2 linked regions of the Saccharomyces cerevisiae S288C genome follow. The gene in region 1 interacts genetically with each later gene. Each region holds a gene or a part of one and is shown in the gene's direction. Other genes may lie near its edges.

Region 1 (4,093 bases):
GATATCCCCATAGACATGTGGTAAACACCACGATAAATGACAGCGTATGCTTCGAAAAATCCAAATAAAATGGCGAATATGAAAGCGACATAAACACTGAAAACAAATACAATAGGTTCAACGACAAGCATTTTTAAAGGCCTTAAGATTGTAATAGTGACAGTGGTTTTTAAAAATTCTTTCTGAGCTTCCCTGCTGAACTTCTTCAAGGCTATATTTCTCTTCTTGGCACGCTTTCTTAAAATAATACCTTTATGGGTCTCTGGCATGAGCGCAATAAATGGCAAGATTAGACCGCCCGCAATCAATTGGATCCATTCAGACCAACGCCAGCCTTTGGCTTCAGTAGCAAATCCTGCCATAATAGGAGATAAAACTGGCCCTAAGAATGGAGATAGAACAAAGTATGTCATTGCGACGGAGACCTGGTCCACGTCAAAGATATCCAGGATGGTACCTGATCCAACGGATAAGGCGGGGGATGCAAAGACACCTGATAAAAACCTTAGGGGTAGAATTATTCTCATGTGGCCATTGGATAACCCAACACCCATGGTGAAAAGCATTGACACAGGTAGGGAAAATAAATAGACAGGCTTACGACCAAACACTTCACTTAATGGAGCGCCGATGACAGTCGATAAACCCAGAAGATAGAAAGTTAAACCAGCAAGCGCCAAAGTCTGACTAACGTGATATCTTTCTACCAATTCTGGTACGGAAGAAACATATAGGGAACTACCCATTGTGACGACCAAACAAAGAAAAGCTGAAGTCATAGTAGTATACCATTTCTTCAAAGAGGACCAATTATGCGGATTGTCTGGGTCATCGGGCCCGTCCCAATCGAGATCTCTTGGGTCAATTGGCTCGCCCCCTGTCATGTTATTGGAATCTGCATTCGGTTCTGATCTTTTTTCGTCCTCTGTTATTGACCCTGTCGAAGAAGAAGTCGAATCCAAGTTGCCGCTATTAGTTACATTTTTGTCCAAGGCTTTTGGTACCTGCTGTATGTTTGTTCGAGGATCTGAGTTAGATTCGGTTTTTGTCAAAGAAGAAGGCATTAGTAAAACTTAAAATATATGTATACGATGTCTATGCTTCTTTGTGTGTGTATGTGTGTGTATAAGATGGTATCTTTATTCTGTAATTTTCAGGAAAGTGATGACTAGAAAATCGATGTGTCAGGTACAACAAATTGACAACCTATAACTTTCCATACAGGCGAATATATATATACACATAAACACATTCAAGCCTCCGGTACCGTTTGCTCTGACAAGGACAATTAGCATGTAAGCACGAGTGCGGGTATGCAATCATTTCAGTGTTTCCTTCATTTGGCATAGTGTCGTAACACGGATTTAAGGTGAGCCGTCAGGGGCTTTTAAGCGGAGCCCCTGCAGCTTCATGAAGACGGAACCGCACGGGCCTATTACCTCGGGGATAGATCAATTATCCGAAGCGGGTCACAACCCGGAAATAATAACCACTATGCCCGACCGTACCGACGTGGCACTATTTTTGGGATCCGTGGAAGTCGGCCATTAGTGGTAATCGGCGAAAACAAGTTTATTGCAGCTAAAGCACGCCATACGGTTGATATAAACAGCAATTAGGCACTTTTTCTCTTATTATTCATATGCCTTATTGGCTTGTGGCTTGTGGCTTGTAGCCTATGCAAATGCATTTGCTGATAGCAGCATAAGAAAGTTGGGAAGAAACGCTAACTGTACTTTTTATATCCAGAGTTCATTAGTTGATCTTTTACCCCAATAATTTCTTCCACTTGCGGCCTGCTTCTTCGCATTTCTCCCATTCCGGGCCGCGACTCCGTAGTTCTTACAGAAACAGCCGCCTCCATAACCATCTATGATAGGAAAAAGATGGACAAACAGGAAAAGAGCTAGGGAGTATAACCTGATTCCTGACATGTATAGGATTCGGGTAATTTTGAAATACGAAGCTCTTTGCATTCCGAGACCGGTTTAGGAAGATTTATTTACATATCTACTTGCGCTATTGTGGTCATGCCTTCGAAAGATAAAGAGCGAATTTTGCTCGTATAAGCTAAAATCAGGTAAAAGTTCCTTATGTTGCTGCTCCTCGATGGCAACGTCGATCTAAGATCTTGATTACTGAATCAGGCGAAAGCACACGTTCATCTTTCGCTCATCGGAAAGAAAATTAAAACAGAAAAAAATTCTAAAATGGCAAAAAAGAAGAAAAGCTCAGTGAGGGCTGTATAGTTTATTAGATAAGCTACTATACGTACATATCTTTTGTAAATAGAACCAAAAATCTTCATGCTAAAGGGACCGCTTAAAGGTTGCTTAAATATGTCTAAAAAAGTTATAGTGATTGCTGGTACAACAGGAGTAGGAAAGTCTCAGTTGTCCATACAATTGGCACAAAAATTTAATGGCGAAGTTATCAATTCGGATTCTATGCAGGTATATAAAGATATTCCTATTATAACAAATAAACATCCGCTTCAAGAAAGAGAGGGCATTCCTCACCATGTAATGAATCACGTAGATTGGTCAGAAGAATACTATTCCCATCGTTTTGAAACTGAATGCATGAACGCTATTGAAGATATTCACCGGAGGGGTAAGATACCCATCGTTGTTGGGGGTACTCATTATTATTTGCAGACTCTTTTCAATAAGCGGGTCGATACGAAATCATCCGAACGTAAGCTCACAAGGAAGCAGCTCGATATTTTGGAATCGACTGACCCTGATGTGATTTATAACACACTTGTGAAGTGTGATCCTGATATAGCTACCAAATACCATCCTAATGACTACAGGAGGGTACAACGAATGTTGGAAATCTACTATAAGACGGGCAAAAAACCAAGCGAGACATTTAACGAACAAAAAATAACTTTGAAGTTTGATACCCTATTTTTATGGCTATACAGTAAGCCGGAGCCACTTTTCCAAAGGCTTGACGATCGTGTAGACGACATGCTAGAAAGAGGCGCCTTGCAAGAAATCAAGCAATTATATGAATATTACAGTCAAAATAAATTTACGCCGGAGCAATGCGAGAATGGTGTTTGGCAAGTTATTGGCTTCAAAGAATTCTTACCGTGGCTAACCGGGAAAACTGATGACAACACAGTAAAATTGGAGGATTGTATAGAAAGAATGAAAACGAGAACACGTCAATACGCAAAAAGGCAGGTAAAATGGATCAAGAAAATGCTGATACCTGACATCAAAGGCGATATATACTTACTGGATGCCACTGACCTTTCTCAATGGGACACGAATGCATCTCAAAGAGCGATAGCTATTTCCAATGACTTTATTAGCAATCGACCCATCAAGCAAGAAAGGGCACCTAAAGCCCTAGAGGAGCTGTTGTCTAAAGGCGAAACTACGATGAAGAAATTGGACGATTGGACACATTATACTTGCAACGTCTGTCGTAACGCAGATGGTAAGAACGTTGTAGCTATTGGCGAAAAATATTGGAAAATTCATTTGGGTAGCAGAAGACATAAATCCAACTTGAAAAGAAACACTCGTCAAGCTGATTTTGAAAAATGGAAAATAAACAAGAAGGAGACTGTGGAATGAAAATATTAGGAAAAAGGAGTTTATCCTGAGTGTATATATCTACATAAGTGAAGCTGGGTTTTGATAATGGAAAGGGAGGATGACAAGCTCAAAATATACTTTATAGATGAATGAGGACAGGTATCATTGGTCTTCAAATGTCAAACTCTTATCAAGCCTAGCTTTTTCTGCTCTTCTTGCTGTATCATATTCCTGTACCTCATTGTACAGATTGCTGGTAGAAGTAATTAAATTTTCGTAAAATGCTGTGCCGGCACTTAAATTTTCTTTCACCTCATCAAGCAGTTTGAAGGAATATCTCAGATCTTCAATATATAGCTCTCTGGGATCTATTCTTACCATTTTCTTTGGTTCAATCCCGCTTCTGCCGGGGTTATTCTTCTTACTTAGGTTTACTTCCTCAATAAGTTTGATATTTTCTTCCTTTGTACTATTAACGTATCTTAAATCTTCGTCAAAGTATTTTAAATGGCCTATGAAAATGGGTTCAAAGTCGACTG
Region 2 (3,428 bases), on another chromosome or scaffold:
AAATCAATCCAGTCAGGATCATACAAATCTACCAATTTTGAAACCTTTTCCTCTTGCTCACCAGCTTCATTCTCGGCAGAATAATGATATATATCTTTTTGTGTGTCCACATTAGCTACCAGGTCATAAGCCATTGCTTGATAGCTAAAATCATGTAATATTGGCGCAAAAGGGTCCAGTGTTCTATCGGTGATTATTAGAATGGAACGCGGTCTTTCAGTGTTTTGAGGAGGGAAATCTGGATTATTGCGAGCGTATGTATCTATCGCTATTTGGAAAGCGTTTGCAATAGACCTTGTTAAAGAATTTGCGTTGACTACGGCGTTTCCATTGCGGGCATCTTCCTCTTCCACAGGATTAGATACAGAATATCTAACAATCGGATATTCCCCCGTAATAACACACAAACTAACTAGTGAGCCTACAATCTTCCTCACGTTAGTAGGAATCAAAGCCTTACAGTTGTTGTTGAAAAAAACCTGTAATGAGTGTTCCATTTGTAAAGTTTCGAAGAATTGAGATTCTTTGACGAAAAACCCTAGTTCGATCGGCTTAAATGACTCCAAATTTTGAGCAATGTAACGTTTTGATTGAAAAAACTGAAATATAGGGTTTGTTAATCCTGGTAAAAATCTGATGTGACATCTTCTGTACTTAGGTGGTCTTACCATGAAGTCAGCATCGATACAATTGATGTTATATTTCGTTGGTTCCAATATGTAAATTGCCTCGATGGAGGATTGTCCTTTTCTTGTTGGGGAATCAATCAAATCAACAGATGTGACATTATTTAAAAGTTCTTGGGGTGTGAGGAAAAGATAACTCAATATTGTCTCCACAGTTTTATCGATAATAAGAAACTTCAAGTTATTTTTCGTCTCAATCTGATTCAAAACCCCTATCAAATAGTTCCTCTGTAATTCAATTAAATCAGACATCGTTCCGCCAAACCAAGCATGTGCACACTCTTCTACTTTGTCAGTGGATTCTAATTATTTTCAAGGTCTTACAAAGCAATGTCTTACTAGTTTCAATAGGGACTTAAACTGATCGTTTAAGCAAAAGAAAAACACCGTGCTGTGTGACCATCTACCAATAATTGCGAGAACATAAGACGACGCCGCCATTCACCTCTCTATCACTTACACCATGTTATAGGGATAAGTGTGTAGTCGATCGGCTATTCGATGATTTTTAAAGAGTGCCTGTAATAATAGCTGTATCGCAAGTAAGGAATACAAGATTACTGATATTTTGATCCAGGAGGATGGACATGTTAGATAGAAAAACTAAGAGGGCTACTACATCCGGTTTAGTATTCTGTTATTGGGAATGCTTTTCCCAAGACGCAAGCAAGAGGTGACACATAAACATAGTTTTCTTATTGTATCGTTACATATTCTTATTTTACGCTGCTGTCATTAAATATGGCACTTATCTCAGATACATTTCTTTTAATCAGCGAAAAAAATGGCGAGGTGAAAAAAATCGATGAGATGAAAAAATTTTTTACTAGTAAAGGCGTATTGATGATATATTAGCAGCTAAAGTATAGCAAGGTTTGTCAATTTGAAGCAGTCCGCGTGTTTTACAATGAGCGTCATTCATCCTTTGCAGAATTTACTCACCTCTCGTGATGGCTCATTAGTTTTCGCCATCATTAAGAATTGTATCTTAAGCTTCAAATATCAATCGCCAAATCATTGGGAATTTGCTGGAAAATGGTCTGATGATTTCGACAAAATTCAAGAATCGAGAAACACCACTGCTAAGGAGCAACAAGGACAATCCAGCGAAAACGAAAACGAGAACAAAAAATTGAAAAGTAATAAAGGCGATTCCATTAAAAGGACAGCAGCCAAGGTACCATCTCCAGGTCTTGGCGCCCCACCGATATATTCGTACATAAGAAATCTGAGATTAACTTCGGATGAATCAAGACTAATTGCGTGCGCAGATTCTGACAAGTCCCTCCTAGTTTTCGATGTCGACAAAACTTCCAAAAATGTCTTAAAGTTGAGAAAAAGGTTCTGCTTCTCAAAGAGACCGAATGCTATTTCTATAGCCGAAGATGATACTACAGTCATAATAGCTGACAAATTTGGTGATGTATATTCTATTGATATTAATTCTATCCCGGAAGAAAAGTTTACTCAAGAACCTATTCTCGGTCATGTCTCTATGTTGACTGATGTACACTTGATTAAAGACTCTGACGGTCATCAATTCATAATTACAAGTGATAGAGATGAGCATATTAAAATTTCGCATTATCCCCAATGTTTCATTGTGGACAAATGGCTCTTTGGTCATAAGCATTTTGTTTCTTCCATATGCTGTGGCAAAGACTATTTATTATTAAGTGCAGGTGGTGACGATAAAATCTTCGCTTGGGATTGGAAAACTGGTAAGAACTTGTCTACCTTCGATTATAATAGTTTGATTAAACCTTATTTGAATGATCAGCATTTAGCACCACCAAGATTTCAAAATGAAAATAATGATATTATTGAATTTGCAGTTAGTAAAATTATAAAGTCAAAGAACCTACCGTTTGTTGCGTTTTTCGTCGAAGCTACAAAATGCATAATAATTCTGGAAATGTCCGAAAAACAAAAAGGGGATCTTGCACTAAAGCAAATTATAACTTTTCCATATAATGTTATCTCATTATCCGCCCATAATGATGAATTCCAAGTCACCCTAGATAATAAGGAATCATCTGGTGTGCAAAAAAATTTTGCCAAATTCATTGAATATAACTTAAATGAGAATAGTTTTGTCGTGAATAATGAAAAATCAAACGAATTTGACAGTGCCATCATACAATCAGTACAAGGGGATTCTAACTTGGTGACCAAGAAAGAAGAAATTTACCCGTTATACAATGTTTCCTCGTTAAGAAAACATGGAGAACATTACTCGTGAAATAAAAAGGTAGTAAGTACATCTTTATAACTAATATAAAAAAAGATACGTACCGATTTGTGTTAATAATCATTGTTAGTACATCTTTATACCTCTGTTTCTAGCTGAAGGCGGCGAATTGAATAGCAGTTCTTTTTAAATTGGCAGATACAATAGGATTAATCTCATTGATACATTTTTGTAGTCTATTTGTGTCGTTCTGGAAACAGTTTTGTAAGCACGCCCTTAATGTGGCCTCGGTGTCCTTTTCAAGTAAAGGACCCATAACCTTCTGAAAGAATTCCAAATCCACTATAATTTGTAATGAGCCATCATTAGAAAGATTACCAACATAAGGCTTAAATGCCTCAAAGAGGTATCTGGCTATAAAAATCTGCGTTTCAATTAAAATCTTATGGATGAGCTGAGGCCCAATTCTAAAGCACTCACTGTGAACCACGATCAGAATCATTAACGCTTCTATAATATAGTCACCAACCCTGAATGAATTTGATGTATAC

What was found.
Region 2: mutations in MOD5 (region 1) and TRM82 impair growth when combined (synthetic growth defect), as found in Saccharomyces cerevisiae (one study listed by BioGRID).

The regions. Positions count from the first base shown.
Region 1 is NC_001147.6:835,368-839,460, forward strand, and holds MOD5 (tRNA dimethylallyltransferase), read left to right. Parts: upstream 1-2,306; coding exon 2,307-3,593; downstream 3,594-4,093. Other genes in the region: TPO4 (Tpo4p), read right to left, coding at 1-1,064; RIM20 (Rim20p), read right to left, coding at 3,717-4,093. UniProt on the Saccharomyces cerevisiae protein: Catalyzes the transfer of a dimethylallyl group onto the adenine at position 37 in the anticodon loop on a specific subset of tRNAs both in the cytosol and the mitochondrion, leading to the formation of N6-(dimethylallyl)adenosine (i(6)A).
Region 2 is NC_001136.10:783,278-786,705, forward strand, and holds TRM82 (Trm82p), read left to right. Parts: upstream 1-1,593; coding exon 1,594-2,928; downstream 2,929-3,428. Other genes in the region: SEC1 (Sec1p), read right to left, coding at 1-938; exocyst subunit SEC5, read right to left, coding at 3,029-3,428. UniProt on the Saccharomyces cerevisiae protein: Required for the formation of N(7)-methylguanine at position 46 (m7G46) in tRNA, a modification required to maintain stability of tRNAs; its absence resulting in tRNA decay.